2 linked regions of the Drosophila melanogaster genome follow. The protein of the gene in region 1 interacts with the protein of each later gene in a pairwise test. Each region holds a gene or a part of one and is shown on either strand. Other genes may lie near its edges.

Region 1 (18,504 bases):
ATATTATAGGCTGGCACATTAACAACGCAAATTACCAAATTTGTCAGAAATAAATTGAATGTTCATATTAGGTGCAAATATGCATATATGAAATGTTACTATCAGCTTGCCGTTGGCATGCAAATTGGATCAAAATTGAATATTTAATTGCACACCGAATATCAATTGCATTAAAATCACAATTCTATCTGTTTGCACATCCATGCTGTTTTCCTACTATTTTTTTTGGAAAAACTTATAATGGGCTACCAGCGTGTGTTTTCGTATTTGGTAATTCCCGCATCATGGCCAAGATAAAATGGATGGGACCGTGAATCATGCAGTTGCAGCTGCTGCGGCAGATGCGGTGCCAGGTGGTCAGGATGTGCCAAAAATAAAAGTTAAACAAACAACCATGAAAGGACCCGAATGGCGACTGGATGTTGTGCAATTTATGGCTCTCATGATCTCGGCGGTTTTTGGACTTGGGACTCCGGAACCGAGCAAAGGTCAATGCAAACTAACGAAACGCAGCGACGGCCAAGTGCATTATCAACAAAAATTCCATTTATTTCGGTTCGCAAGTGCAGCAGCCACAAATATTCATTTACGAAATGGGATTAAACAAAGCGGCGCACAGATAAGTTTTCACAGCAAGTACTTGTATTTAAGGACTTAATTAAGTAACTGGTGTGTATATACATTTAAACAAAAATAAAAGCTGCAGAATTGGAATTATATGTACAACGAAAATACATGCAAGTTATTTTATAGTTATAGAATTTGGGATTTCTTTAAACATATTTATCAATAGCTTTAAAATAGATTTTAAAATAAAATGTAGTGATTTTTGAACCCGAACCCACCTGACTTATTATTAAGCAAGGCCTCCAATTCGTCGACGTCGTCCGGATAACTGCCATAGTCGTCATCATCAGGCACATTGGCGGCATCACGCTTCCGCGTGCGTTTCTCGGTATGCTCATGCTGTTGCTGCTGCGGTACGCCATCCAGATCCATCGTGCTGGAGATGTTCAGCAGGATCGGAATGGCGGCCGAGTCGGAGGACGTGGCCAGGACAGAGGCGGACACGGAGGCGTGGAGCAGGAGAAGGCAACCGTAGAGGAGCACGGCCTGGCCCAGTTGCATGGCCATCAAGTGGCAGCCGTGTGGATGCAGCTGCTGCTGTTTTTGATGTTGTTGCGCCATCAGCTGCAGTCGCCGCAGTAGACAAGGCAACGTTAACTTCGCCATTTTGTCATTTTCGCACCGCCAGCCGCTTCTCAACACATTCGCAATTGTTTGCGAACTTTCGCCATTTGGCCAAGAAGTTTCCGTTTGCGTCGTTAGCAGTTTCAGTTTATGTTATAGTTTGCAGCTCGAGTTTCGGTTTTTGGTTTGCGTTTCCGCTGCCTCAGTGGTTTATAGCTCGCTTTGGACAAATTGGCCAAACCCCGGTGCACATTACGTATACGTCATGCTGCACATTACGTATACGTCGCCGGCCGCTGTTGTTGCTTTTGGTGCTGGTGGTGATGGTAGTGGTGCTTCTGCTGCTGCTGCTGCTGCTGCTCCTGATGATGATGTTTAGCCTTGTCCCGCCTGCCGTTGTCAAGTGGCCAACTAGCTAGCTGCCTGCCCTGCATGATAATTTTATATAATTTGCCCCCGCTGCCACAAATCGGCTCGAGTGGCGCTTGTTTTTGTTGGTTTTACTTCTACCGTTGCCGTTGCGGTCAGCAGCGTCATCATCTTCGAGTGACCCACTAATGTGTGTTGCATGTGCAGCACCGCTGCACGTCTGCCGCCGCCTTCTAGTCGGGTATTAATTCCATGCAAACTGCAGATTTATGGCACGAACTTTGCGAATCTGGGTTGGTCCTCTTTCGGTCTGCCGCGGCTCGTTATCCCGAGCTGAAATTGCACGGAAAAAGGTCAAACATATAAATTTGTGCTTTCACTAAAATAACCATAAATAATATGAGTAGTGCGTGCCATCACATTAAATAATCACGTAGATTACGCGTTTGAAAACGTTTTCTGAAAGTGAACGCAATTTTAACTGCGTGTAGATAAAGTGGATCTATAAACGTTCGTTTTATATTGTAGACGACAAACAATATATTATTTTATTCCACAACATAAAACGTTATATATCTACTTGATTTATAAAAGTATTTACAGGTAACCACCAGGGGCTAATATTATTATCTAAAATTTCTAAAACAAATTGATAATCAAAAAAACATCTACACAGCTGGCCCAAAGTAAACGAATGTGTGTTTGTTTAATCATATTTACTTTTGATTCATGAAAAACGAGATTCGACTGATATGTTGGTATATAAACCAGAGGATTGAGCTTTCTTCGTTTAGATCACAAAATCTCCCCAAAACGAAAATGAAACTTCTTCTGGTTCTGGCATTGGCAGTCTTCGTAGCCCACGTGGCTGTGGCCCAGACAACTGATTCGTCTGACGATGGAGATTACTCTTACGATTACGCTGATGACAACGATACTGCCGGTAGCTCCGAAGACAACACTGCTGATTCTGGAGACACTAGTGATAGCTCCACTGACGTCGACAGTGGAAACGACTCTGGGGACGTCGATTCCTATGACGACTACGAGGGCTCTAGCGATGTTACGGAAGCACCAACTGCTGCTCCAGTTGTCAAAAAGAACAAAAGAGCTGGTGCCAGGAAAAACAACAGGAACAACAAGAATAAGGCAGCAGCTAAACGTCGCAATGCCGCCGCTGCCAAGAAAAGTAATAACAAGAAGGCGGCTAAGAAGCGAACACCTGTTGCCGCCAAGAAGCGGGCAAATGCTGGACCCAACAAACGTAGGCGCTCTGGATAAATCCAGTTTATTATATTCGTAGCTACAAATTATAAAAATAAAAAATTATACCAAAAAAATTTGTTCCCAAAATTACCAAGATTTTTTTCTATGACGTTTATAAGTTAGGTTTTGAATTAATATATAATAATGATAATGATATTTACCAAGAATGTGGTTGTTGGGTATGGGTGTTTATTATTATGAATTTTGTACAAAACTTGAATATCACAGAAATTTTGAAATATATTTAACTATTTCACCCAATGTTCAAAAGACAAGAAAACATTCTACATAAGTTTTTATCGGCACGTGTTTTTTCCCTCATTTGTAAATAAATATATTTTTGATAAACAAAAACATACACCGCATATACTTGAAAAATTATATAATTTTAAAGACGTTTAATGTCATATCTATTTTTTCTATAAAACTACTAGCAGGTCGCCTAACGCGTAAACCATAGACAAATTGTTCAAAAATCCAGATAAGACATTTGTGACCTTGGCTCTTTTAATATAAAAGAGTTTATATTACTTTTTCGTGCTCTAACACAAAATATAATTTCATAATTTCAACATATAGCAATCGAAAAATGTTAAACAAATACAAGCAGCACACACAGGTGCTCTAAGCCACCGAAAATTAAGACGATGAATTAAAAAACCAATATTTGCATTCTACAGATGTACATAGAAAAATAATGTAAAAAAGCTTTATATATTTATAAATTTCTTCAGAGGAGAAAAAACTATAAATACCCAGTGTTGAAGACTTTTAAACTCAGACGTTTATACCTAAGGTTACCTATCTGTTCGTTGACTCTATAGATACAAAAAAAAAAAGATGAGGCTGCTGTTGGTTTTAAGCCTGGCCATATTGGTTGCCTTCGTAACGGGTGCTGATGACACTGACGATGACTATTACGATTATTACGACTATGGTGATGACTACTATGACGACTCTGATGTAGAGTCCAGTTCGGAAAGTGGTGTTGGTGCATCCAGTAGCTCAGAAGATGATGCTAGTACCTCCGAGGACAGTTCCTCCGGCGAAGCTTCCGATACAGGTAGTTCTTCAGAAACTTCTGGAGATGGTTCCTCCGCCGAAACGACCTCCAGTTCAACTCCAACCAAGGCAGAAAAAGCCAAGAAAACTGCTGCACGCAGAGCTAGACGGCGCAGGCGCACCACCACCGCTGCTCCCAAACGCAAAGTAGCGGCAGCCGCGTCTGCCAAGAAGCAAACACCTGTTGCCCAAAAGAAGAAGACACCTGTGGCAGCCAAGAAGAAGGCGAATACTGCCGCCAACAAACGCAAACGCACAGGCTAAGCAGTTCGAAAAAAGGATAAATTCCCCATAGTCACTGAAAGTTTTTACATCAAACTTTTAAGAGGACCAAGAGACATCTTGTAGAATCTACATTAGTCTGGGAATATTTCATATGTTGTTTTCTGTACAAAAAATCCATATAAAAATACAAAGATAAGGAGACGTTTTGTAATTTACCAAAAATATACATTATTAATCCAAAATATACAACAATTTTGTATTTGAGGGCTTAAATGATCTTTCTTCGGAGAGAAACTAATCATTACAAATCGTTTCTGAATACTTAAAATCGAAAGCCAACTAAAAATCAAGTATTCCTTAAAAGGAAAAAAATTTTTTGAACGAAACATTCATTTAATAAACTGTTGTGGTTTATATACAAGTCTCTGCAGCCAGATTAGTATAAATCGTTCTAGTGGCGTAGTATTACCAAAGTCAGCTGCATTTTGCTGCATATTTTTAGGCGCCCACATTTACATTTACCAGCGCTTTGGCGCATTGTGTTTCTATTTAGACGTAAGCCAATAGCATCTATAAATAGTAATTATGCCCTCATACAAGTAGACATAAATGCACAGGGACACTTAATTACTGATGCGCACAGGCGACAATTGTTTAATGGCGAAAGGATAACGAAAAGGGAGGAGCCTGAGTAGCGCCATCGGCCACCACAATGGGACCATTGTTTTCGATTTCAATGCCGACATTCTGGCAGTGGCACTGCCAACAGAAATCCCGTGTATCCAGTGCACTGCGGCCCAGATGAAAGCCACTCCGCATCCAAGTGTTTGTGTTTGCCCGAGAGAGATCCAATCTTCCAGTGTGCTGGTGGCGGCAAAGCACACATCCATAGACACAACCACACTCACACACCGATGTTTCCTCTTGTGGCACCCGCTGGGCCGCTTAGTGAGCCAAGTGTGGCAACAATCTGAATCATCGTTTTAGTTTCCACCCTACATCCCCACCACCAGATCACCAGGGTATGAACCGATTTGTGAATTCGCCGGGAATCTTAGGTTGGGATGACCAGTCAATAACAATATCAAGCAGGAAATGGTTGCAAATTATCGAAAATTCTATGTATCTACTAGATTTGGTGTTATCTACGCAAATGTCTAAAAGTTGCATTAAATTGTGGATAACTTTGATTTGATTTATACATTCTTATATATAATTTTATTTTGTTAAAATCCTTTTTTTATTATAATAATAAAACAGCTTTGATCCTGAATGTTATAAGTATCCTATTTCAGGATCCGCCAAACTAGCTAAGCTTTTACAGGGTATTACACCACACTAACACCATTGGCAATTGTAGGCGATGGGCTGACGTGGAATCAGAGGGGAGGTGGGAGCGGAGGATAAGGCTGCTGTAATATCTGTGGCTGATGCCTTAAGAGGAAAATGCGATAATGTGCGCTAAACAATGAACAATGCAGAAATGGCATAAAAATAGCCAGAAGTGGGATATGAAGTGGGACACAGCGGCGGGAATTATAATGGAATATGTGTTTGCCTCCGAGGATGATAACGGCCAGGATGATGGCGGTCGGTGGTGTTGCTTTGGTTAGCACTCACAATGATGTGATGATGATGGCAAGTGCCCGATATATGCAGATTGTAGGTGTGGCTGCTGACGTTGATGGGCACCTTTGAGGAACAGATCGTCACATTTTAGATACTGCTTTTGACATTTACATGTTTTGCAATGCAAATCAGATGGGGCACAGACTGGGGCTAAATGAATTGGAAATTTAAAAATGACGACCATTTATTTACATAGGTCTCGCAAACAATCTTTTCAATTATGAGACAATCTTGTCCATGTTTGTGAAATATGGATAAATATTTAGAGCATTTCCTTCACATACATATTTTTATCGTTCTTTACTAGCTAAATAGTTCTATACTAACCAATCTATACATGAGTGTAGTTATATCTCTTCTAAGTTGATATCTTTTGCAATATTTAGCACATAAATCAAACTTTTGAAAATTTTTCACATTGCTCACTTTTTGATAAAAATCTTAAACGCCCAACAAAGACATAAACTTCCTCCTTGTGGATGTATAATTTGAAAAACAATTTGCATTTTCTCGAGGGCAATTTATTTTCCATTCCTTCGGTGCGGCAAAAAGTGGCTGAGGGCAGGGAAACTAAAAGTTTGCTCACTCCAAAGAAATTTTCTCTAACAAGGCATTTAGTTGGCAAACAAAAATACGTGCATATTTCTAACCCGACGGTGGGCAGAATGTTTATGTAATTACCGACACGTTTATAAGCGATGGCGTTTTTGTCAGCAGCACAAGGGGCGGCATAGGGGCAAAGGACTCGTAGAAAGTGAGCGAGTAACTAGCAAAGAGCAGAGCAATTTATTTAAGTGCGAGATATTTTTATGTCTCGGCAAACCATTAAAATGTGCATAATGCAATCCCTTCCAGCACTTTGCATATAAATTTCAACCGGCTGGGGCAAGTAGCGCCATAGCGGAAATGCAAGTCCAATAACAAGGGCAGTCGAGAACGAAAGGGATTGGCATGGGCTTAGTGGCCATTGCATACACTGTTAAAAAGGGTGTTGCGAATACAAATTTCATTTCATTCAGAATCAAAAATGTTCGCTACGTTTTCGGTGTGAATCTAGTTAGATTATTGATTTCGTAATGTGTATTTAAGGATCACATTTATTTATTTTAATTGACCTTATTATTCTGTATTTCAAAATAATATTTTCATATTTAATAATACAAATTAATAAGAGAACATAAAATCAAAATTTTATATGTACATACATTTTTATATTCGCATTCCTTTTTGAATTTGTAACCCTTTTTCACTCCATGTAGACCAAAATAGCTTATTTTTTGAGAGCCCACACTTGCAATGCCAATGTGAATGAACGCACATCCTGCTGCTCCTGTGTGTGAGTGTGTGTGTGTGTACTAGGATATACCTCAGAACCTCTCCGAAGGGAGAGGGGCACCGTTACAGTAACGGTAACGGAAGCAACGAACGCAAACATCATCCTGCATTCTGCATCGCCGAAGCTTGCTTGGCCCGCTCTCTGCCTCTCTTCCTCTCTGAGAGGAGCAAGTCGGAGAGAGCGGAAGAGCGGTGCGCCTGCCCCTAGAGAGTACCGTTGTTTCTAGCGGTACATAGGGCTTTACGGAAACTGCACTCGTGTGCGTGTGTGTATGGGGGTCCTACTTTTAGGCACTGATAAAGGCAAATTTACATACGCCGAAATGCCCCACCGCCCCCAGACTCCCGCCCACTTGGTTTCGGCCACGGCTTTTGGCTTCTTATGTGTCGCCGATGCCGATGCCGTTTAAAATGTAGGTTACACACAGCGAAAGAGGACCCGCAGACGCACACAAATCACATTCACACAAAAACATTCGCACACATTCAGAGCGAGAGAGAGAGAGAGCAGCACACAAATGCACGTGTATACGTATATGCAATATATTTTAGAACTTTCCGTTTTTCCCTTCGGAACGTGTCCTGCTCTAAGGTAATAAAAGTTTTATAATTTTTTGGTTACACACACACACGCGCGCGCGCCTATGAGTGTTTGTGTGTGTGTGTTTGGCTTTTGTCTTTCACTGGGGGCCCAAGTCAGCTGGGCCTTACAGATTTTGATTCCCACAAATTCAAAGTTACGGACTCCGTGACCCGTAAAAGTATGCTACCAAAACGAACTATTCGCCAGTTTTGCGAGAGATTAAAACGTGAGAAAATTAAAAAATGTTTTTTGGCAAACTTTTGAAAAGGGCTCATAAATAAGAAAGTTTTGCCTTTCAGTTTGGTTCCAGGAATTTAGGTAAATGTTATTTAAAAATTAAATTTACTAGTCTTTTTTTAAATGGATACGACGTTACTATTTACATATTTCTCTTTTAGGGAGAAATAAATGATTCTCTAGTTTCGCACATAGGATTTTGATTATCTACACTAAATGGTTAACTATTTCTTGTTAAAAATTGAGAGAAAACGAAGTCAAAAGTATTTTTATATTGAATCACATTCATTCCACTAAAAGGCCAAAACAAATATGCTTCATATTACAAACAATCCTTTTACAAAGAAGCTCTTATTCCTTGCTCAAAATGCAATTTTCGTTCCACGTCAATATCCAATTACACCTTAAGAGGCATTCAAGGTCTTCTAGCATCCTGCTGCTTGTGCTTTTCCACGAACATAATTTATATTGTTTTTGTTGACTTTTTGATGACCGACTGTGTGAGCTGGTGAGCGGCGGAATAGAGAAAATGTAACAACTGTGACAAGGGCAGGAAATGCTCCTCTATGCCCATAATACTATACAGATTTGAACCAAAAACACATACATATAAACGCCAACAGCTATGTACATACATATGTATTGTATTGTAGTACCTATGTATGTGGATGGATCATGTATATGTATGTTCGTCTGGGAGTTCTTGTTTTTGTGTGGGGATTCAAAAGGCCTGCCAAAACAGCCAATCAGGAACCAATCAGCGATAAATCAAAGTTTGATTTCATTTTCAGCAACGTTGCTACCTTTTTCGGACTGCTTTTCCTCCGCCGCCAATTACAGAAACATTTTGTTTTCGCCTATCGCGTTAAAACTTTCACATAATTCGCCTAACTTGGCGTTTAAAACATTTAACTTTGGCCAATTCGGCGCAGGCAAAACTTTTTGCCTCACTGGCACGCACACACAAGCACTTTTCGTTTAATTTTTAATGCACTTTTAATTGCGTTTTCTTGTACGGCGCACTTGTACGGTTTGCAGTTTGCATTAATCCACGTCTTACAACATTACCAGATATCTGTGTGTTGTCTAGTTCTTGCTGGTATAAAAAAACCATGCGATTTGGGAATCGAACTTGTGCGATTGGCGAACTTAACGGTACTGAGCCGAACCCACAGCTGTAACGGTAAAGAACGATGTGTGGGCGAGGACGACAACGACGACGATGCTGCTCCTTCGGTGGTAGCTTGACATCTGCTCGGGGTCCTTTCGGGATCCCGTGCTGTCCGACTATCGGTTCGGTTTGAGAGCGGGCGCAATGCAGCAAAACTTGGAGTAGGTTCAAGTTCCGAAGAGAGGGTGAGACTTTATATCGCTGAGACACAGAGAGAAGGGAAGAGAGAGCCGAGAGAGAGTCGTTGTGATGAGACAGATGAGTGACTATCTATACCTCCTGACTGTCAGCTGTTTAACGAATTTAAAAATAGAATTTTTCCAATCCCGATTTTGATCCCTAGACACGGTTTTATTTTTTTCTGACAAATTTTTCTATTTTAATCTTGAATATTAGATCATTCGCGGTTTTTTCGATTATTTTTTATTGAAAGCTTAGCCAGAAAGAAGTGCATCCAATATTTTAAATTAAAAAAAAAAACATTTAATCTCAGCACTTTGGTCACACTAGATGTATAAAATATCTGTATAATCATGTGCACCCTGTGCACGCAATAAAAATTGTAATTGCTATCGATATTTAAAATAATATTGCAAAATCAAACTAAACCTCTTAAGTTACAAAATCGAAGCACATGATATTTTATTAAAATAAAGAAGCAATTCTTCAGTAAGTGAACAGAAAAGATATTTCTTCTAATAAAGAAATTCTTAAATAAAAGAAAATGTTAACGGATTACATAGAATTGCGAATAATTTGTAGAATAAAATACTACCATGACAAAAAGCAAAGAACTTTGATAAGCTCTTATTACAAACTAGAAAGCTCTTCAACCGATTAATACCGATGTTTTTCACGGCGGCGTTATCTCCTCACCCATAGAAAGTTGTTGTTAAAGCAATCGGACTATTGAGCCGGCAGAACAGTTTAATTCTTCGAAAAGATAGGTAGTATACTAGAGTCGGGATCAATTAATATTCCAGACAATTCTCTGGTGAATTCTCAAGAATGCAAGTGTTTTTAGCTTTAGCCCTGCTCGCAGGCTTGGCTTTCTCAGGTGAGTTATAGACGTTAGAATGCTAAAGTGTTTAGCCAAACAAAGAGTAATTGTTTCTGCGTTTGTGTGCGCTTTAAACTAATGCACACATGCATATATTAAAACAATCGAGGTCATCGTTTTAGGATTGAAACTTTAGCTTATCATCATTTTTTTTGCCATGAAGTATATTTAAAAAGTAAAAAGAACATGTTTTTATTAAACTTTTAAATTAGATCAAATAAACGTAAAAGGGCATGTACTGCTATTTTGACCGCAGCTGTATATATACGAAGTATATAAGCAATGGCGTGAGCTTAAACCTCGATGGCTGCCCTTTACCGTTTCTTATTGTCAAGTTCCCGCTCATTTCTCATCTGAATCTCTCCACACTTTCGCCAACGACAATAGCTAATGCCACGAATCCGCCGAAATGGGATCCAAACTACATAGTCAAAGGAACCCTGTACATTCCGTACGCCGAGATTGCGGAACCCTTCTACGCCTGGTATGACAAGAATACGAGGCGATCCCGCATCGATTACTACGGCGGAATGGTGAAGACATACCAACTGGCTGGCGAGGGTCAGTACGGAACCCTGCTGAAGCTGGCACCGATTACCACCAAGACGGAGAACAACAAGCTAACCTGTCTGCAGGTGAATGGCACCGCCGACCAGGCTGTCGATATTCAGAGCATCCTGCCCGATGCGAAACCTTTCAGCCTGGTGGGCACCGAATCCTTTTTGGGCTACACGTGCGACAAGTTCCGCCTGGAGTCGACAATTGGCCAAAAGAAGAACATCTATACGCTGTGGGTGCGGTACAAGAAGTCGCCGCATTATCCCTCCAGCCGAATGCCCATTCCCGTGCGCTACGAGATGAGGGGCTATAACACCCTGCTGGGATCGCACTACGATCATTACTACTTGGACTATGACAGCTACGAGCACGATGATATTCCCAACGAGGTGTTCGAGATCGATGACAGCCTGCAGTGCGTCGGATTCCCCGGACCCGGCACCGGTCACTATGCCACCTTCAATCCCATGCAGGAGTTTATATCCGGAACCGATGAGCATGTGGACAAGGCCTTCCACCATTTCAAGCGCAAGCACGGAGTTGCTTATCACAGCGACACGGAACACGAGCATCGCAAGAACATCTTCCGTCAGAACCTGCGCTACATCCACTCAAAGAACAGGGCCAAACTCACCTACACGCTGGCCGTTAATCACTTGGCCGACAAGACCGAAGAGGAGTTGAAGGCACGACGAGGATACAAATCATCGGGCATTTACAACACCGGCAAACCGTTCCCCTATGATGTGCCCAAGTACAAGGACGAGATTCCCGACCAGTACGACTGGCGGCTATACGGCGCTGTCACTCCGGTGAAAGGTGGGTTCATTCATTCCCTAAGTACTTACTTAGATGAATTTGATAATATTGAATTGCTTAAAACGTAAACTACCCTTAGATCAATCTGTGTGCGGATCGTGCTGGTCATTTGGCACCATTGGTCACCTGGAGGGCGCCTTCTTCCTGAAGAATGGCGGCAATCTGGTCCGGCTTTCCCAGCAGGCGTTGATTGACTGCTCGTGGGCCTATGGCAACAATGGCTGCGATGGTGGCGAGGATTTCCGCGTGTACCAGTGGATGCTGCAGTCCGGCGGAGTGCCCACGGAGGAGGAGTACGGTCCCTATCTGGGCCAGGATGGCTACTGTCACGTCAACAACGTGACGCTGGTGGCACCTATTAAGGGATTCGTCAATGTGACCTCCAACGATCCAAATGCCTTCAAGCTGGCTCTGCTCAAGCACGGTCCTCTGTCGGTGGCCATTGATGCTTCTCCCAAGACATTTAGCTTCTACTCGCACGGAGTTTACTATGAGCCAACGTGCAAGAACGATGTAGATGGACTGGATCATGCTGTCTTGGCCGTGGGCTATGGCTCGATCAATGGAGAGGACTACTGGCTGGTGAAGAACTCGTGGTCCACCTACTGGGGCAACGATGGCTACATCCTGATGTCGGCCAAGAAGAACAATTGCGGTGTTATGACCATGCCCACTTATGTGGAGATGTAGATTGTCCCGCTCCCGCCTACATATTTCTTATTTTGTGTACTCTTTTTATTTTTACGCCCACAGGGCGCTAAATATGCAATACATTTCATAAACTCTTTTGTAATCCAAGTCTTTTGAATCTTATCACTGCTCCGCTTGGCTGGAAATGGAGCTAAGTTTAGCTTGGGTCATTATCTCCGCAGTCCATGGTGTTTCTTAAGTTAATTCCATGCCGATAAGCCGATAAGCCTAGAAGACAATGACCAGTTACCAGTTGAACTTTGCGCAAGTTGCAACAGTTTTATGCGAATCGGGGTCTTTGCCATTTGTAGTGGAAATCATTTCTACAGTAAAAACTCGCTACATTTTTAAAAATTTTAATCATTTAATTTCATCAATATTAAATTAAACATATAATTAGTTTTAAGAATCTTTACTTTGAATAATGATTCTAAAAATAAGTATACCTTCTTATTTAAAAAACTTGCAAGCAAAGCATTGAATTTTTACATTAAACCCGTTTTACAGTTTTTCAATTAAAATAAATTAAAAATATAACATGAAGAATACTTTCAACTGATTCTACAATTTTCACTGCTACTACATTTCATTTTAGATTAATTGTTCATTTTAAATAATATATTTATAAGTTAATTTGATATAACAACAAATAAGTCTAAATTTAAATACATATTTATTGGCATAGATGTTGCATCCCTGGAATTGCGCCAATTGGTATTTTTCTGTTTTGGCTTGATGGTCATCCGATACAGTTTAGTTATTCTTTTTGAATTGTATTTGCTTGGAATCGAAGGAAGCAACGAAGCCATGGATGAATTGGTGAAGATGTGCCGGGTGTGTATGGACGAGCCGAAGGACCTGCTAGACATCTACGACAACAAGAGCTTGGGGGACAGACTGAGCGACGATCTACAGCGAACCAAGGAACCGGAGCCCACGCCGGCTGATTTGCTGAATATCTGCAGCGCATATCCAGTGGATACCGGGGACGGCTTTCCGCTGAAAATTTGCGAACCGTGCCTTATTAAATTGCGTGAGGCCTTGAGATTCAGGAGACGCTACACAAGGACCATGGAATACGTGGCGCGCGTGAAGAGGGAGCAAAGCGACAAGGAGACATGCGATCTCCTGGAGGCCGAGGATTGGGATTTTACGGATCGCATCAAGAGCGAGGAGGAGGAGGAGGAGGACGATGGGGACCGGAACGATAAGCAGCCGAAGAAGGAGACTCGCAACGAGGTGGATAAGAGGCGGCCCTTCAAATGCACCGACTGCCAAAAAAGTTTCACCGGCAAGGCCCAGTTGACCATGCACAGGCGCACCCACACCAAAGGATCCACAAGGACCAGACGAAAAGCTCTTAAATAGTCCTTGGCAACGCTTGGCAAAATGTAGCCAACTAAAATAGTAATTAATCATCTTGTATCATCGTTTTAAAAATAAGTTCGATATATTTTTAAAGTAGAAACAAGTTAGCGACTAATAATGAAAGTACATATGGAGTGTAGTTTTAAAAACAATTTCATGTTCTCATATTGACAATAAGATAATAAAGAAATGATAATCGGATCGATTCACAACAGTTTTTAAGCAGCTTTCTCACTTTGGTTGCGATTACTAGCTTTGTCGATTTCAAACAAGAAATTATTATATGGACATTCAATATATGAAAATACCTTTAACAAATCTTAACTATTTAAACTTATTTCTTTTTGTTTCTTGGCTGCTCGTCCGTCGCTTCCCTCGCGTGTGTGCTGACATGTGTTTTTGTAGGCCGTTTAGTTGCTTGAAGCTTTGCTGACATTTGGAACATTTGAACGGCTGTTCGCCAGTATGAGTCCGGGTGTGGACTTGCAGTTGCCCAACTTGCCGGAAGCGCTTGGGGCAGTTCGGACAACCGAAGGGACGCTCGCCGGTGTGACAACGTGTGTGGCTCTGCAGGTTGCCCTTCTGGGCAAAGGATCGCGGACATAGGGAGCACTTGTAGGGTCGCTCGCCAGTATGTATGCGCATGTGAATCTCTAGGTTTTGTTTTTGGGTGAACGACTGTGTGCAGAGCTTGCACCGATATGGTCCGGGAACCCTTTTCGGTTTGCCCCGTTTTGAGGCGTTCCAGATTTTATCATCATCTTCGTGTTCAAGCTCACTATCCGGGCTCCATGAGTCATTGTCCGAGTAGGATCTCGCCCTCCTCTTGGACTTATTGTGTGGCGTCTTTGCTGGAGAATAACTTTGCGCGAGCTTATGCTCATTGTTGTCTGGAAGAGGAGAAGATATTGGCTTCGGCTCTGGAGGCATGTACTTAACCTGCACAAGCTCAACTAAAAGAGGTTCGGATGTCTCCGGCGTTTTACCAGCTTCCATTACCGAGACCGGCATCTGTGGTTCTATGTTATCCCCTATATTCAGGCAATACTCTATATCGTCCAGCTCCTTCATCATCAGACGCAGCTGTTCAAAGTACTGATGGCTCTTTCGGCATTGCCGTCTTAGCCGATAGGCATTTCTTACGGCCTCCGCACACTCCACGCAGATGAACTGCGGCATTCCGTCCTCCTTATGCACGCTGCATCCGCTGCATTCCCTCAGCATTGTGGCCAAGACCGGCTCCTGCTCCTGGACCCGATTGGAGGAGGCATATGGCTCTGTATATATATCCAACAGGCAGTCGGATTCGTCCCTGCAAACGCGGCACATTTGCGAAATGTCCATCGTGGCCGAGCTCCAGAGTTTCGTAGGCAGGATCAAAAATATACAATATCAACAAAATGCAACTATTAAAATACCAATCACTGGAATATACCAACAAAAAAATACCGAATAATCAGCTGTGCTTCGCATCTTATTAATTTATCAGCTTTGATTTATGATTTAAAGTTGTTTTTTTAAGTTAAAAATGGGTTTTTCGTATTTTTTAAATATTTTATTTTAATCTGGCTCTTAGAGCATCAGAATATTCCCCACTTATCGATATACCTTAAAGCTGTACAATGGGCGCGAAGCTTAAAATGTAACGCTGTTTTGAATATGAGTAATTTTTTGAATTTGTATGAAATCACGGAAAAACATAGTTTGACAATAATTGAATTGAACTTAAGAACTTGCTTGTACAAATAAATAACAAAATATGTAGTCTACAAGCGTAAATTGATTTGCTTCGCAAACTTTACAAAATTAGATGCATACCTATTTTATAGATTATATTCAAAAACTAAACAAAAACATTCAACATTAAAATCTAGGAATGCAAATTCGTCCCAAACTCTACTTGGTATTGTACATGGATGCAATTGCAGGATCTTCGGTTTCGTAAATGATAAGCACATCCCTGAATTTATCAAGCAATTGCAGCAGTTGCGAACGTCGCAGGTTCTCGAAGTACATGATCTCCTCCAGATGATGCTCGCTCTTAAAGTAACCCATCTGATACAGCTTCACAAGCAGAGATAGATCATCCACGTTGGCAGAGGCGGGAATTCGACGGATGGCGGCTCGATCCGCATCGCTGAAAACCTGTAGCAGCTCCTTCAGCTTCTGCTCATCCTCCATGGAATCGAGGCTGTCGCAATTGTCCGTGCTCATCGAGGCGGTGATGCTGAAATTGGACTTGTGGCTGGATGATGGCTGCACGGCGATGTTGTCCGAGGCCAGTGATGAATGGTCCTCGGACGCCTCACGACGATGTCCGCCCACCAATACCGCTGGCACTGGCAACGGATGACTGGACATGCTAAGCATGGAGCCATGCAACTCGTCCGCATCTGGTTCTTGGTCTCCTTCTTCATCGCTAATGGCATCCCTTAGATGGTTGCTGCAGGAGGCCGAATCTCCGAATTCATCCTCGCTGGGCATAAACTGAACGTACGTGTGCAACTGCATGAGCAAATGGTGCTGCAGCATCCAAATCACCATTTGTGCGAGGATACCCTGTCGCGCTGGCTGCTGCAGTGGCGTGGTTAAGTGTCCAATTGAAGTGGGCAATGAAAAATCGGAGATCACCTCGAACAGCGACATACCGGCAAAACGGGCCGAGAACTTCTCCACCAGGTGGGACTTGGTGTGCAATGGTGCATCCGGCGCGATCACATAGACATTTGTCTCGCAGAGTGGATAAATAATAGTTGCCTTAGCCCAGTAGACCAAATGCGAGACGAGCTTATAAACATGCTCGATACTCAAGTCTGCATTGGAGGACATGCTCTGCAGACTGATCAGTGGGTCGTAGACGTCGACTAGCTGCCATAGCATGCGTGCCCCAGTCGGTGGAACGCAGTCCAACAATTCGGCAAAGTCGACCAGCAGCAACATGCCATGATAGGGCTTCAGTGCACGAAGGCACCGATCTATGGTCTCTGGATCCACCATGCTGCCCTTCTTATGGAGCTGGTGTGCCTTAGCGGGCAGACAGAAGCACAACGTTAGGTTGTGATTCAGCGAGGTACTCAGCAGTCCAGTGGTGCATAGATCATGGAAGATGGAGCGCAAGGCCTGTGCCAAGCTGCAGCGCTCTGCAATCAGCTCCAGTGTGCGTTCCAGCGGCTGTTGCTGCTGCTCGTCGTGTGTGCGAGCCATTTGAGCCGTCTGCTCGGTGAGATAGCCACTGCGCTGCTCCTCGAACTTCAGCGCCAGTCCAAGGCGCTTGCTCAGTTCGTGGTAGCACTTAACAATCGAGTAGCTGGCCTGTGCATGCAGCGCAAAAACAATGTTGATGAGCATCTGTTGCTTGGCCATTGGACCACTTCTCTGCTCCTTTTGCGGTATCAGAGTGGGATGACTGACAAAGCGTACGTCGTTCAGTTTGAGTTCAAACTTTTGGTTGCATAGCTGTGGTTTAACAGCAAACAGAGCGGACAGGACCTCATCTGCGAATCCCTGCAGTTGTCCTTGGCTCTTGGCAGCACCCAAGTGGGTGGGTGTCTGCAGCAGATCGTCCGTATTGGCCACGGCATAGGGATTGCGCTTTCTGTGATTGAATAAATCGGTATAGTCAAGCTGAGTGCCCTTTGAATTAATAGGTAGTACCTGGACTTCCGCTGCTCGTCGTTGGCCACCTCCGTTTGGCCGAGAGTCTGGTACGGATACCTGTACAGTAACCGATCCCCCTTGCTATCGAAGTAAACCAGGATTACGGCCAGGGGATTCACATTAGTTTCCATGGCACACAGACACTTCCCCTTTTATGTAAATTAAAATATGAACATTTGCATTATCAACTGGGGTCAGGGTCAACAAATAGTTGGCTATGTTTTCAAAAATACTTTATAAATCGTAGTTTGCTACAGAAACTACCTCAACAACTCTTTATTTATTTATTAGTACCTCAATTTGACTTCATTGAGAAATGGAAGCAAAGTAAATAAATGTAAAATATAAAATATATTTACAGCAGTGTGGCTCTCTTTTAGTTTGCATAAAATACCAAAAACTTATTTAAAATAGTAGTCATGTCAGTTTTCATTTTGCAGGCGAAACAATAATATAAATGCAACGCAATGGAATTTTTTTAAATCGTTTAAATTTACCATAGATACCTTAGATAATATATTCAAAAACTAAAAAATACTAAACGAAAAACGGTCTTACTATATAAATAAATATATATCGGCAAGGCTAATAGTATAGGATCCCTGGTCGAGCGATAACGATCTATCGCTCCGCTGTAGTGTGACCGTCTTCGGTTGGTCAGTCTCTAATTTTTTAGAAGCGGAAAGTTGTGAGCAAAACGTGTGGAAATTGTGCTCGAAACGTCAACAAAAAATTTGTGAAAATAACTGGGAGCGTAGTATGCGAACGCGGCAATCGCAGAACTATGAAATTCCCCTGTGAAACATGTTAGTTTGGCTGTAAAAGCACTTTTAAAAATGACGATTTCTTATTAGCGTGTTGGAAAAGAGGAAAACACACACATTGTGAGAGGCAAAATACGTGCGGATCGTAGGTGGGAGCGAGACGACGCTAAACGTGTACTAGCCGCGGTCTATATATACATATATATAATATTTGTGTGAGTGTAGGAGAGGTATAACTAATTCTACAAAAAAATATAGTTTACTTGGCTGAGTGGTTCGCTTCTGAATTAGTTTCGCACTCTTCGGCAGTATGGTGGCCAATAAGTTAATTTCAACTAATTGTCATTTACTTGTAGGTTTGTTTTTCTACTATGTCTTCGTTTCTGTATCTATTCCTTGTATTTTGGAAAATAGGATTAATAAGTGCCTAAAATGTAAATAGCTTGTGGTTAAATAGTTAATAACATAACTATTTTACTTTTTGTGTATATGTGCGCCAACATCCGTGTGTATAGATTTT
Region 2 (15,547 bases), on another chromosome or scaffold:
CCTTTCATAGTTATCGATAATCTGTTATTATTATCGGAATATTGCTCACTTGCTAAGGATTCCATGAAATTTAAACAAATGGACTTTGTGACGACAACTGGGGAGGGAAGTTTTCTGCGAAACAAGATTCGTGCATATGCCAAGGATCACCGTGTTGAGTGCCGCATAAAGGCGAAAGACTCATTGCGCATTGGACTTGGACAGGTTAAGCAGGAAGTGGCGGCTCTTGAGATGGGCACCAAGGACGTCATTGGAATGGCCAGCAGGATCAAGCGTCGCAAGCACGCCACCTCCGAGGATCTGTGCCGCTTGTCGCTGGGGTTCCTCCAGAGCAATGACAACATCAATGCATTCGCAGCTATTCCTGGCGCCATTCAGGTTCTGGTTAAGGAGCTAACTGGTAACCAACTGCACCCTCATTAGCTTTAGTTTTATATAAAAAGGTTGACTTGACTTTCAGGACCTCACATTCAACGACAGACAGATGCCGTGGAGTGCTTGTGTAATCTTTCCTTGGGCGAGGCCCATGTCTCCGAAAAGATTGTCACTTTGGCGGGCAGCTACATGGTCACCTACCTTGATGGCAAGGCCGAACGCCTCAAGCGCAGTTGCCTGTGGACACTGGCCAACGTTCTGGGCACATGCGACAAGGCCGGCAGCGTATTGCTGCAAATGCAAATAGTACCCAAGCTGTGGAGGCTCTACATCGAGCCCAATGGCTGCCAAGAAGATGCGGCCATCTGCCTCTCCCTGGTGGCCACCCGCTGCCCGCAGCATGTGAGTGACGAGGATCGAAGGTACATTGGCCAGAATCTGCCTGAGAAGCTCCACGGCCAGCCTGCCAGCGAGTACTTCATGTACATAGTGCACCAACTGGAAATAGTGACACAGGAGCACAAGTTAGATGCTCAACAGGCCGAATGCCTGGTGCGTTTCTTTGAAGCCACCTTAGCATCGCCAGCCGACCGGCTGTGCCTAATCTACGCCGTGCGTGTAATGACCAATCTGGTAGCCCTAGGTGACACAAGTCTAATATTCGCACTGGCAGACCCGCAGAATCTTGTGCAAACCCTAAACCAGCTCTTCGCTCTGCGAGATCCAGATCTCAACCTGGACGCGATGCGCTTGCTCAAGAACTGTCTGCACTTGAAGGTAGCAGATTCCAACCTGGTACTGAATAGCTTGCAAATATACGCATAGGCTTATGGTTAAGAATAAGTCTTGCAAATCTCTTTATTGGTCTTAGAGTACATATAAATATAAAGCCACGGACTTTTGAGTACTCGAGAATGTATTGTAAATGAACATGGATTGCCGCTAAGCAAAACTAAATCACTAATGGAAACAGAATAAAATAAATAAATAATAAATAAATACAATACGACAAAAACACAGATGCAAAGTGGTCAACATGATTACTAGTTTGATTGAGCCACCGGCATGAAAAACAGGACTTTGTAAAACCTAAATATCATCCTCGAAGAGGGCGATTATTTGACGCCTTTTGGCTTCGTCGTCGGCGTTCAGTTCATTGCCCCTGTGGGCATTGTGGTTGTGCACCTCCAGTTCGGAGACTGAGTCAAATTCTAAATTGCACTGCCCGCAGCGGGCTGAGAAAACGGGCGCTGGACCCTGCGAAACTGTGCCAGGAGAGACAGCGGCCCGTTGCAGCTTCTCGAGGAACGTGGCTCTCTCCCTGTGCTTGTCCAGCCCGATTCCCAGCGCCGCCTTTCCGCGAATGGGAATGGGTTTTTTCACCGTCGGCGTGCCCTGGGAATGGCAACTTTCAGAGCGCTCAATGGCGTACAGCACGTTGTTCTCCTCCGTGATCGGAGTCGTCGTTCCGCTGGCACAGTCGAATAGAGATGGTTCCTGCACCGGCCGGGGATCGGGTATATCTATGGGAATTGGCGGCTCAGCTATCTTCTCACCGTTGGACACCTTCACCTGATTGAGCTTCTCGGCCAGAAGCGAGTCTATGGAATGTTCCTGCAGCCAGGCGCAAGTTTTGTGCAGAGCGAATATCATGCGGCGGATGAACTCGTGCGGCGAGACCATTTTCTGTCGCCTAATCTCGAGCAACTTGGTCACCTCGGTAACAAACGTGACGAACTGGTATTCGACGCAGTTGTCCAGATGCGACTGATGCGAGTCCTCGAACATGAAGCGTTTGGAGCATGCCGGACACTTGCGCTCCTTCCACATGGGCTCCGGTATGTTCACTTTGATGTCGCGCAGCTGCAGCTGATCCTGCTCCATGGGATCGTCCTCCTCGAAGTTGGTCTCGGTGTAGTTATAGCAGTTCTTGTGCTTGCGCAGCAGGGCCGCCTCCTCGTTGTCGTCGCTGGAACTGGCCACCGCATAGTCGTCATCTTCGTCGTCATTTTGGCCACTGCTCGATGGCAGTTCGCCATCCCGCGGTTGCCTGGGCATGCTGTTGTGAGGCTGCTGCTTGTTGAACAGCACGTTTAAGTACTGGATCTTCTGCTCAGCATTGCCGTCTAGCTGGGTAGTCGTCTGATTGAGCAGTCGCTTGTGTACCTTGTCCTTGGATGACTCCAGTTTGTTGGCGCTGTTGTTTAGCAGAAGATTATGCACTGGCCTCTGCTCCACATAATTCAGATCCTCCGCCGTGAAGAGGGCGCTCTCCTTGTCCATCTTGTTCGCATCCGAAACGTTGACCCTCTTCTGCTGGTAGAGCTCCGCCAGCTTGAGACTCAGCGCGTTCTTGATGCACTGTTCCCGGAATGTGACGGCATGCTTGAGATAGGAGATGCACGGCGCACATATGTTGCGTGGCAGTCCGTCGTCCGTGGAGTTCTGCGGTCGGTCGAAAGAGGAGGCACTCATATAAACATTTATCTGGCTACTTTAGAATGGAGTCACTTACTTTCAGGCCCGTCGTCTCCTCCAGCAGAACGTTTATGGGCTTTTGCCAGTTGAGAAACTCGTTTGTGGAGCCGTGCAAATACGTGGGAATCTTGGCGAATATCTCGTAGTCTGCGGGGCTGCTGCAGATGCGGCAGATATTGCCCCACGACGTCATACTTATGGCAAACCTTAAACTTAATGCTTATGCCGGAAAAAATAAACAATGACAATTTTCAACACTCCGGCGAGTGTTGCCCTACCACTGAAGGTTCAAAACTCAACAGTCCACCCACTTGCGGCAGTGATGTCCAGTTAGCTATAACAGGATTACAGCAAATTTTTTGAATATTAATTATTATTAGCTAAACACGTGACAGATATATTAATGACTAAGACGATAGTTTATTTAAGCATAAATAATACTGTTGAAAATACAAACGTAGATTTATTTGATATATATTTACAAAGCTAGATTTTATTAACACCAATTGGCAACAGTGGCCAACAGTCTGTTAATGCTCTTGATCTAGCTGAACTCGGGGGTCACACTGGTGCCCATCTGGAATTGCATAAACAAACCTCGCTACTGGAATAAAATCACAAATATGTCGTTTAATATCATGCAAAAGCTGACCATGCAGTGCCTGAAGGCAGACCAGCCGCTGATGAGTAAGGACTTCCCACGAACCGGTTGCATATTCTAATCAATTCAATCCCATTTAGCCACCGTGCGCAATGCCAGCAAGAAAACCGGCGGAAGTACGAGGAATAAGAAGGGCCATGCGAGGCCCAAACATCGCGGATGGCGCGTCCAGGATGGGCACCACGTCTCCGAGGGCACAATACTGGCCACCCAGCTCACAACGCGCTTTCATCCGGGCCTGAATGTGAGTAGCGCAGGAAGGAGTTATCCCGGCATATTTTTATACTTTTTCCCATTGAAAGGTGGGCTTTGGCCGCAATGGAACCCTTTTCGCCATGGAGCACGGCAAGGTTTATGTGACCTGCGAGGCCATCGATCCCAACTGGGACCACACCTGGATTCAGCGGAACTACGCCGGTCGCCAGGGCCAGAACATCTACAAGAAGTTCTTCAATGTTGTGCCCGAAAATCAGCATCAGCGATTTCGTCTAGTGGAGGAAATCTAGATTGTTAAATACAAAATTTAAACCAAATGGAAATGTGAATATTTGAATTTTTGGCAATTAACATCGATGTGCTTAACAGCACCTGTTATATTTACATGCCAGCACGACCGTTATACAGCACTGTATTTAGCAATGCTCTGAACCAACTATCGAATACACGCCCCGAATTTGAAAAGAAATCCAGTTAATAGCCAGATATCAATGCAACATTTTCGATTATTAATTTCGCAAAACTTTTTACATTGCGAACTTCAAAAACAAAAACTACACTTCCCCCTTTTTTAGCCAAGCCGAACGCTATTGAACTGTAAAATGAACTTTAATAATAAGCCATAATCATCTATAAGAAATTATAAAATTATGCACATGACGGTATAGGCACTGCCTACAGAATTTCGCTTAAATCAAGTACACGTTTTATCCTATGAATGTAAAAACTTATTTAGTATTGTTGTAGTGAAATTCAATTTAACGCTTATATATGCAGTATTATGTTTAATTATTCATGATTATATATTTTCATAATGCATATAGACTTAAATTTATCTTAAATATAATGGTGTGTACGAGATATTTTTTCAGACTAAAATGGTAGTTAGGGGTATATGTTTTCTGTCCGGATGGTATTTCGTATTTTTTGTTATCGCCGCCGGGCGGTCACACTGCTACAACCGCAGCCAACTTCGCTTCTTTCTTTCCTACAATTTTAAAGATGGTGAGTGGACGTCGGTAAATGTGGTGCACCTAAAATGTGGTTTGTGGGCAGGCGAATGATGTGGAATAGAAATAAGAGCTCACTCAAAGTGCCGCAGCATGCCTGCCCACTGACTGCAATGGCCAAGTGAGCATAGCGACTGGAGCAAGTAAACATAACCTCCAGCACGTGGGTGAAAATGATTGAGGAATGCTCAATGAAAACACGTTTCTTTTCTGCTCTCCCTTACAGTCGAATATCAAGCGGAAGAAGACCAGGAAGCTGCGTGGTCATGTGAGCCACGGTCACGGCCGTATCGGCAAGCACCGCAAGCATCCCGGAGGTCGCGGTAACGCTGGTGGCATGCACCATCACCGCATCAACTTCGACAAATACCATCCTGGTTACTTCGGCAAGGTGGGCATGAGGAACTTCCATCTGCGTCGCCAGCACAAGTTCAGGCCCGAGATCAACCTGGACAAGCTCTGGTCCCTGGTCGGAGCCGAGAAGTTCGCCGAGCTGGAGAAGGAGAAGAGCACCAAGGCTCCCGTCATCGACTTGGTTAAATTCGTAAGTTTCGCCCGAATTCCCCATCCAGCTACGCGAACTCTGCTGCCGCTTTCAACATGAAGATACACCCAAGGCGATGGGCGGACAGAATGCTACCGTACAATTGCTCTCACCGTGTAGAGGACAGCCTTTCAGATCAAAGCCAGCAGTTCTTGAAGAGGATGTGCACCCGTTCTCACCCCGTTGTAACCCATTGTATTGACTCTGGTGTCCTTCTCATGTCTCCACAGGGCTACTACAAGCTGCTGGGCCGTGGTCACCTGCCCGCCCGCCCCGTCATCGTGAAGGCCAAGTACTTCTCTAAGAAGGCTGAGGACAAGATCAAGAAGGCCGGCGGTGTGTGCTTGCTGAGCGCCTAAGTTAAGGTGAGCTTGTGTGTCTAGCTGTCTTACCTATTCGTCGGCGAAGCAATGAAGTGCAGTATCCTAATTGCTATTGTTTCCCTTGCAGATTCCTCCTCTACAGAAGAAAAAAGCAAGTGGACTACATTCGACCATCAAAAATGTATTTGTTTTTTAATAAATTTAAAAGAAAAACAAGTATTTGCTATTCCGACAAAATGTGTTTACTAAAAGGTATTGGGGCTTCATTTTCTGCTCGCTTGGCGCAAGTTGTTTAGAACTTTCTATTTCTATTCCTGCTACAACTTTCCTTTATATTTTTATAAAGAATAATTTCTATATGGTTAGTTTGTTGTGGCAAAGGAAAACTTGTATTTTGAATCAAATAACAAGGGCAAATTTAAATGAGTTTGACAATATTAGAAGTATGCCTATTTTTGTAACTTAAGAGGAACAGTAATAATATAAAGAAAATAAATAGTAATTTAAAGAGTATAACTGCGTCGGTGCGCATTATCAGTTAATCCCTCCATTTTTAGCACTATTCTCGACTAGGCTTTTTGCGCCTTCGCAGCTACGGTCACACAGCGGCGGGCAGAAAGCTCGCGGAAAAATTCGGAAGAGGCGGAAAAGTACGAGACGCCCGATATTGCAAAAAGCGGAAGCAGATTACGTGTAGGTCAAGGCCGTAGGGATGAGGGCAACTTCCATCTTTGACCTTGCTGTTGGTGATGGGGTGCGGCGACCTTGGGTCAAGGACACGACCGAACAAGAGGCACCGAATCCAGGAAACGTAGTCAAAGTGGAGGGCATGCCTGTGTGGGCGGGGGATGTTCCAGTAAAAACAAAGTAACTTGATTATGACCTCTGTGTTGCAGTTAGGAAACGAACTTGTTGACTTTGTAACATTACATAATCGGAAGCCCAGAGTGAGGAGAACTGCTGCGAGATGGCCAACAAAGTGCTGCGAAAGGTGACGCACTGCGTCTTCGACATGGACGGTCTGCTGCTGGGTGAGTGCTGCCGTGCTTGTATCTGCTTTCTGTGTTAACTATTTGCCGAACAGACACCGAACGCCTTTATACTGTGGCCACCGAAATGATCCTCGAGCCCTACGGCAAGACATATCCCTTTGAGATCAAGGAGCAGGTCATGGGCCTGCAGACGGAACCGCTGGCCCGGTTCATGGTCGAGCACTACGAGCTGCCGATGTCGTGGGAGGAGTACGCACGCCAGCAGCGCGCCAACACCGAGATCCTGATGCGGAACGCCCAGTTGATGCCAGGTACTAATCCCAGTTCTCGCTTTGCCGTCACGTTTCAGACACGGAGAGGATATACGAGGAGGTCACCCGGCAAATAGCCGCCTCCTTTGGCCGCCCGTATCCGGAGGAAGTGCGTTTCCGGGTAATGGGCACCACGGACCAGCGCTCGGCAGAGATAGCCATCACCGAGTGCCAGCTGCCCATCACAACCGGAGACTATCTCAAGCGGTACTCGCAAATGTGCCACGAGCGATTCCACAACGTACCCCTGCTGGAAGGTTAGCACCACGACCAGAAAACTAATCGGCATTTCTCCCTATAAATACTTCTGCTTCAATTACTATCCTACTGTGATTAAAGCCGTTTGTTAATCGTGTGCTTCCTTCCCCGTTCAAGGTGCTGAGCGCCTGCTGCGTCACCTGCACGCCAACAAGGTACCCTTTTGCTTGGCCACCAGCTCCGGCGCCGACATGGTCGAGCTGAAGACGGCCCAACATCGGGAGCTGTTCTCCCTGTTTAACCACAAGGTGTGCGGTTCGTCGGACAAGGAGGTGGTCAACGGCAAGCCTGCGCCCGACATTTTCCTAGTGGCCGCCGGCAGATTCGGTGTGCCGCCCAAACCGTCCGACTGCCTGGTGTTCGAGGACTCGCCGAACGGCGTGACGGCTGCCAACAGCGCCGGAATGCAGGTGGTGATGGTGCCGGACCCACGACTGTCCCAGGAAAAGACCTCGCACGCCACACAAGTGCTGGCCTCGTTGGCGGACTTCAAGCCGGAGCAGTTCGGGCTGCCCGCCTTCACGGATTGAACTTAATGGCTGACGTACTTTTTGTAGCTAAAAGATGCTATTGCTGTAATTGGAAATCGATGTACCTACCAAGAAAATGAATTTAAGTGTAAATGTTATCCCATATACACGTATACGTATGTGTGCATAAAGCATCTGGCTTTGCCTTTATTTTGCGCCTAATCTACATAGTTTTCCAGCGTAAGTTCTATTTGCCAACCGCTTCCAGGTTTTTGTGTATGTCAGGAGCAGCGTGGTTGGCCAGGGAGAGGGACACTTCCTTGCCGTTGCCTGCGGACATGGGAATCGATGTGGGGGAAGCTAGCAGCGCACATTATGCTAATCTACTCACCATAGCGGGCGTAGAGGCGGGGCTGGACGCCAGAGCACTCGCGCACGAGGATCGGCAGGTCGGGATTGCTCTTCTTCAGGTTTGGATAGAACCTTTCCACGTATTCCCTGTAAAGGAACGCTGCTTTAGCAAATTATATAATTTAAAAGCGGAAAATGACAATTTCACCTGACTCCCTTGGAAGTGTCTCCTTTGGGATCCAGAATGATTCGCAGCTCCTTCAGTTTTGGAGTAAAACTGGCCAATCGGAACAGAGTAATACCCATTTTGGCACCACTTTTGCGATTTTGAAATGTTCAGGAAGTAAGTCTATTTAAATGTCGGTACTACGCAGGGTTGTCAAACTGTCTTGGATTACATATTGGTATTATTGTTTTTTAAAAACAAATTACTTTTTGGCTCAAACTAAAATAACGTCTAACTCACCAGAGACGCGAACCATTAGTTGCATCGTTTGAATATCCATTCCAAAGACAAGAACCAAGGCAATTGTCTTGGCTGACACCAGGTCAGCATTTGATTGGCCCACATCGATAAATACCGATAAATGCTTGACGGCCAGTCACTCATTTGTTTTGGTAAACATCATTTGTCTCTGGAAAATATTCAATTGAACACGTATTTGAACAATTATGGCGTCCGTGCATTGTCAACTGTGGATGGGAAGCGTAAGTAGCAACGTGCATTACCCCAGACACATGACCCTTTAAGCCCGCATGGCCATTTCAGCTGGAGTCCTACATGACGGAGAACTTCATAATCGCCGCTTTCCGGAAGATGGGCGAAGATCCCACCACGGTGCGCCTGATGCGCAACAAGTACACGGGCGAACCGGCCGGCTACTGCTTCGTCAACTTCATATCCGATGACCATGCGCTGGACGCGATGCACAAGCTAAACGGTAAGCCCATTCCGGGCACCAATCCCATTGTGCGATTCCGTCTTAACTCGGCCAGCAACTCGTACAAGCTGCCCGGGAATGAACGCGAATTTAGCGTCTGGGTGGGCGACCTCAGCTCGGACGTGGACGACTATCAGCTGTACAAGGTGTTCTCCAGCAAGTTCACATCGATCAAAACCGCCAAGGTGATCTTGGACAGCCTGGGGTTTTCCAAGGGTTACGGCTTTGTGCGATTTGGCATCGAGGATGAGCAGAAATCAGCGCTGTACGACATGAACGGGTACATCGGATTGGGTACCAAGCCCATAAAGATTTGCAATGCCGTGCCCAAACCCAAATCCGAGTTGGGTGGTGCTGTGGGCGAAGGCAACACAAACTATGGATATGGAAGCGGTATGACTGCAGCAGGTGGCACCGACTACTCGCAGTACTACGACCCCACCAGCACCTATTGGCAGGGATACCAGGCCTGGCAAGGTTACTACGAGCAGGCCGGTGCTTCGATCACAGATGCGGCTGCATACTACCAGCAGGCCATGTCGCAGTCGCACTCTAATCCGCAGACTCTGGCCCAGCACGCCGAGGCCTGGAGCGCACAACGCAGCGCCCAGTACGAGCAGCAGCAGCAGCAGCAGACCGCTTCCGCCGCCAATGGAGCTGAGGATGAGAACGGACTGGTGGAGCACAAGTTCGTCCTGGATGTGGACAAACTGAACCGAGAGGCCATTGATGCCGACCGCCGTCTGTACGATGCTCTGGAGAGCTCTAAGTGGCTGCCCATTGAGCAGCTGGAAGTCTTTTAGGATACTTATCTACTATATTTATAGCTTACTATAATTACAGCTTAGATATAAGCAAAAAATATAAAAGCCTGACTTGTAGCGTATTATTGTTTTTGAGCCTGCTATAAACTTTTATGCTCCTGAATCTACATTTCTTAACAAAGGATTCAAAATAAAGGATACATTTTTACAAAATATCCCTAATATCCTTACAACAGATGTATTTTATCGATATACAGACGGAATACTATTCTGTCCGTGTCATCGCCATGTCGGCCTATCGACTGTCGATAGTTTCTGCCTTGGCCCGAGACTTTCGGAGATTGTGCAGACAATTGCGGACTAAATAAGCGTTGAATCATGAAGCGAGCGCGGCAGCCGAAGATTACTACGCAGGCCCTGCTCGATTTTGACTTGGGCGAGAGTTCCTCGGATAGCGACTTCCTGCCGGACATCGACAACTGCTCGGACGGATCGAAGGACGAGAGCGATGGCGACGGTAGCAGCAGCGACGCCAGTGGTGGCTCCGATTCTGAATCGGATTCGGATGCGGAGAGCGAGGATTCAACACTGCAGCTCCGGCAGCTGTTGGCGGAAACGGAACCGTCACCACTGGAGAACGGGATCAATGGAGTGGACCACTGCGCAGCTTCCTCCCCGGCAGCACCAGTAGTGCCTCGTGCGCCACTTCAGCTGTCTAGTGCTCCGGCCAAGCGGATGTGCTGCGTCTGCCTGGGCGAACGCAGCGACGACGTCAACGAGATCGTGGAGTGCGACTCCTGCGGCGTATCTGTCCACGAAGGATGCTATGGCGTCAGCGACAACGTGAGCATATCCAGTACCAACTCCACCTGCTCGACGGAACCGTGGTTCTGCGAGGCCTGTCGTGCTGGGGTCTCGGAACCGGACTGCGAGCTGTGTCCCAACAAGGGCGGCATCTACAAGGAGACCGACGTGGGCAAGTGGGTGCACCTCATCTGCGCTCTGTATGTGCCCGGCGTGGCCTTTGGCGAAGTGGAGCAGCTGTCCTCGGTGACGCTTTTCGAGATGCAGTACAGCAAGTGGGGCGCCAAGGTGTGTTCCCTTTGCGAGAACGCTCTATTCGCTCGCACGGGCGTTTGCATTGGTTGTGATGCAGGCATGTGCAAGACTTATTTTCACGTGACCTGCGCCCAGGTGGCCGGCTTTCTTATCGAAGCGCACCACGAGGACGATGCCGCCGATCCGTTCTACGCTCACTGCAAGGTGCACTCGGAGAAGGAGATGATCAAGAAGCGACGGCGCAACTACCACACACTGCGGCTCAATATGATGCAACGGGCGAGGGAAAAAGAGGCGTTAGCTGCCGAACATGAGACACCTGCCCCTCACCCAAATCCAGCCCAAGCACGCATTCAGCGTAAGCTGCTCAAGATCCAACACAAGTATACCAGGCACAAGGAGCTTAAGCCCACGCCGTGGGTGCCAACGCAGAAAATGTCACGCCTGCTCACCACCTCGGCCTCCGCCTGTCGTCGACTGTTGGCCAAGGCGGAGATTATGTCAGTGGATGTGCAGCATCTGGAGCAGCGCGAGGCGCACATTAACGCCTTGACGGACATTCGGAAGAAGTGGCACATTGCGCCGGCATTCAGCGTTGAGTTCACTGCTTACTACATGGACCGTATAGTCCGCATGGATGACTTCCGTCAGCAGCAGCGGGAGCTTATTTCGCACAACGCTATCTTGTCCAAGGATCAAGACGTGCTGAGAGCTCAATACGACACCGCGTTGGAGGAGCGCAAGGCAGTGAAGGCCACTAAGGATTCCCTGCTAACGAGCATTAAGTCTCTGCACACGGCTTTGGGCCAAATTGCACCCAACATGACGCTGCCCAGCGTGGATCTCATTGCGCATCCACTGCCAGAGGCGCCGCCAAAGACCAGTACGCCGACTCCACCCCAGCGTCCCATCTCGGTGCCCACGGCAGCTGCACTGAAAATGGGCGTGGGCTTTCCGTTGGGTCATCTGGGGCCACCGGGCAGTAAAATGGACTCGTCACGCATGCTCAGTACTCATGCCAAACAGGGCAAACACAGCACTTCCTCGGCATCCGTGGAGGCGGCCCCTTCTGTGTCCTGTGGCATCTGCAAGAGGAGCAAGGATCAGCATCTGTTGGTCAAATGTGACACTTGCAATTTGCACTACCACCTGGGCTGTCTGAATCCGCCGCTCACTCGACCCCCAAAGAAATCCAAGCAGTATGGCTGGCAGTGCTCCGAATGCTGCGACAAGTCTGAGGGTTCGGATGCCGTCACGGAGATCTCATCGGGTCCGAGAAAGTCACGCACTCGCTTCAATAAGGATGGCCATCTGGTCTATGTGGATCGATATTCGCTGGACGATATTCCAGTGGCCGCTGTCAATGTACCCAAGGAGTCACACACCAAGCGAGCGCTCAACAAATCCCTGCCAGCTCCTGCTCCGGAATATATAGAAGATCTGACTAAGTCGCCGAAACGGCCTAAACTCCAATCCCCATGTAAAACACCAATTAATGGTGAGTTCGTTGTTGAGAATTCGATTTGGCACAATACCTGTTTAGATTATTATTGCTGATTTGGAGTTTTTGGTTTATTTTTTTTTAAATGCAAATGTGTAAATATGTATGCGTGAATTAACGGAATTTTTCGCTTGATGGTTAGAGAAATTTATGATTTATGAAGAAATTGGTTTTCTGTTTAATCCTGATTATCACTACACTTGTTTTTTTTTTGGCCTGTACAAAGAAAGTCAAAACTATCTCAAACATTGATCTTTGTTTACGTTTATTGAATTATACCCAATTGGTATTTAATACAAGAAATTATTTTTTTGTTAACAAATAATAAAGAAAAAATTTTTTGCGCAAATTCAAGTATGTTTAATAATAAATAATAAAACTAATGTCACGGATCTTCTTCCGCCAGTTCCTGCCGAAAATGTCACTCCCACAACTGATGCTGCTCCTGTTGCCGCTTCGGCGGCTACTCCTGCGGCAGCTCCAACACTGCCCACGCCCAATACTATCGTGATTAACCTATCTGGCTGTGAGGACTCGATTGACGACTCCAGTGGAAAATTATCGCGCAAGGGTAAGCGCAAGGACAAGCACAAAAACAAACACAACCTGTCGTCGGATACAGAGAAATCGATCGGCAAGGAGCATAAACGGAAGCGAAAAAAGCGCGCCCACCTTGACGAGTCTTCCACCCATTTGGATAACGCGGGCAACACCTCGGGCAGCACCATTAAGATTATATTCAAGGCATTGCGTTTACCCGGCGAGGATGCGCCGGAGTCTCAATACTTCTACGTGCCGGCCAATGCGGTGCGCTCCGTGGACGAAGCCTCGCGCCCCACCTCAGTTGAAACAGTCGAGGACAGTGTCCAGGGAGCGGAGCAAGCCTTGGCACCCATCGTGCTGCCGGCAGCGTCACCGCAAAAGGTTCGGGAGCCCAAGGAGACTGCGGCCAGCGCTTCCGTCAACCCCACACCATCACCTAAAAGAAAGGTCAGTCCACGAAAGGCAAGTCCCCGAAAGCCGCGTGTGGGTCGACCACGGGTGTCCAACGCCAAGCCTAATGTGGAAATCAGCTGCTGCGTGTGCAGCCAGACGGGCAAGTCCAACCAGGTGGTGACCTGCGACGAGTGCCACCGGCACTATCACTTCGCCTGCCTCGATCCGCCGCTCAAGAAGTCGCCCAAGATTCGCGGCTACTCCTGGCACTGTGCCGACTGTGATCCCACGGACGAGGATGCACTGCCCAAGAAATAGAAGCAAACATGATTTTTACGTAGATTTTGTACCATTAATATCATTAGGTCCGTGCGATATTTACAAAACTAAAATTGAATACACAAAATAAAATAAGTAAGACACATTCATATTAAAAATAAAATATTGACCAAATTGTAATTTGTCACTCGCTGAATTGTTCGGCTCAGTTATTTAACATATTTATAAATACATTTATTAATAAAAACCATATAAATATTACCGAATTGGATTTCATTAAAGACGGAACCCGAAAAGGACTCATGAGACGTTCAACCGACATGATACGAAAACGGAAATTAATTTAACATTGTTGTTTATTATTTAGCATGACCAGCATTCCATCTCATTTTTGATTCTTAAATACACATATAAAATTATACAATTTTCAAATTATTAACGATCTGACCACGAATGTTGACCATGTTTTGGTGTTTTAGCAAGGAAACTCTGCATTTTTCCATCATATTCCTGAAAACAATCAGAGTTATGGACAAGTACCAAATACCAATTCCAATACAATTGATTTGTATTTTATCGGCATTCCACTGGCATTTCCGTTAAATGTGCTGTTAGGAGCCCAACCACATGTTGTGCTATCGAATGATAATCGATTCACGGCATTCGATATCATATAAACAACGAAATCGATGTACTTTTCGGTATGCCCTACACCGGGCTTAGAAGAGAACATTAATTTAGTACTTAGGTTAATTTATATCTATATATTTGCAACCTATAGTCAGTTTAAAGGAAATATATTCTTTATGTTTTGATTTTTTAGCTCGAACTACAAATGATATATGTTTATGCTTAAATACAATATTGTTGAAAAGATATTATGCTATAAAGTGAAGTCTATAGCCAAGTCGACCAAGCCGCACTATGCTCTAGTCCAGCGGCTGTTGGAAAAACGGCCACGTAAAAACATAATTTTAACAGGCGCAAATACTTGGCGTGTCTAGTCGCCAACGTGAATGAAAGTAAACAAAGGGCAGTAAAATATGCCACAGCGGCAAGCAACGAAGCAGTTGGAGTTGATATGTGACGTGAAGGAAAGGCAATAGTTCCGGACCCAGTTTGTGACCATGGACGAGAAGCTAAAATATTCTCTGCTGCGCGGGGAACTGGTGGACACGCAGAGCATTTGGACCAGGTGGGTCTCACAGCATACAGCTCACTAAACCTCCCCAAGTACAACTCCTTTGTCGGATCATTGCAGGCATGAGAAGCGTGTCTGGTTCATCACCCTTATTACGGGCACCTGTATGCTGTACTCCACCCGCACCACTATGCCACTTCTTGTGCCGGCCGTGGCATCCGCCCAAAAGTGGAGCAAAACCGACTCGGGCACTGTGCTCAGCTCCTTCTTCTGGGGCTACACACTCACGCAGGTTGTGGGCGGCTACTTCAGCGACCGCTTTGGAGGCCAGCGAGTCATTCTGTTTGCCGCAATCGGCTGGTCGCTTATCACATTCCTAATGCCCACTATCATCTGGACGGCGGGCTCCATCAAGAGTTACGCTATTCCCTTCATTGTTGCCATTCGAATCCTGAACGGCGCTCTTCAGGGCGTGCACTTTCCTAGCATGATTAGTCTAACCAGTCAGGTGCTTAGCTAATTTTATAAATTTACACATAAACTATAACTTAATCGTTTGCAGAATTTGTGCCCCAATGAGAGAAGCAGCTTCTTTGGGCTGCTCACAGCGGGATCGGCTCTAGGTACTCTTCTGACTGGGATTATGGGATCTTTTCTGCTGGACTACTTCGGCTGGTCGTATGTATTCCGGGTGATAGGACTGATGGGCATCGCATGGGCGCTGGTGCTGCGCTACTATGCAATGGCCGGCGAGCGAAACCGAATCATTAATATTGCCACGCCATCCCGACTGTGCGCGAACAAGAGTCCGGCAGAGACGTCAGCCGTGCCTTGGTTGCGATACTTTCGTAGGCTGTCCTTCTGGGCCTGTGTGCTGACTCACGCCTGCGAGATGAACTGCTTCTTCGTGCTACTCTCCTGGCTGCCTACATACTTC

What was found.
Region 2: the proteins of CtsK1 (region 1) and Secp43 interact in a two-hybrid assay, tested with the Drosophila melanogaster proteins (one large-scale study listed by BioGRID).

Annotation. Positions count from the first base shown.
Region 1 is NT_037436.4:13,984,276-14,002,779, forward strand, and holds CtsK1 (cathepsin K1), read left to right. Parts: upstream 1-9,955; 5' UTR 9,956-10,076; coding exon 10,077-10,125; intron 10,126-10,515; coding exon 10,516-11,505; intron 11,506-11,584; coding exon 11,585-12,195; 3' UTR 12,196-12,296; downstream 12,297-18,504. Other genes in the region: CG17364 (uncharacterized protein), read right to left, coding at 846-1,233; CG17362 (uncharacterized protein), read left to right, coding at 2,380-2,841; CG9040 (uncharacterized protein), read left to right, coding at 3,667-4,152; CG17361 (uncharacterized protein), read left to right, coding at 12,931-13,563; CG17359 (uncharacterized protein), read right to left, coding at 13,888-14,907; Nprl3 (nitrogen permease regulator-like 3), read right to left, coding at 15,460-17,158, 17,218-17,351.
Region 2 is NT_033779.5:4,447,477-4,463,023, reverse strand, and holds Secp43 (tRNA selenocysteine associated protein), read left to right. Parts: upstream 1-8,570; 5' UTR 8,571-8,661; coding exon 8,662-8,697; intron 8,698-8,758; coding exon 8,759-9,733; 3' UTR 9,734-9,855; downstream 9,856-15,547. Other genes in the region: CG15443 (uncharacterized protein), read left to right, coding at 64-400, 461-1,200; CG15435 (uncharacterized protein), read right to left, coding at 1,465-2,820, 2,891-3,046; mRpL27 (mitochondrial ribosomal protein L27), read left to right, coding at 3,492-3,540, 3,595-3,758, 3,817-4,020; RpL27A (ribosomal protein L27A), read left to right, coding at 4,733-4,735, 4,967-5,284, 5,515-5,643; Gs1l (GS1-like), read left to right, coding at 6,575-6,638, 6,692-6,910, 7,286-7,698; ND-B8 (NADH dehydrogenase (ubiquinone) B8 subunit), read right to left, coding at 7,886-7,968, 8,030-8,136, 8,198-8,295; CG15439 (uncharacterized protein), read left to right, coding at 10,073-12,251, 12,661-13,508; MFS18 (major facilitator superfamily transporter 18), read left to right, coding at 14,597-14,664, 14,731-15,118, 15,173-15,547.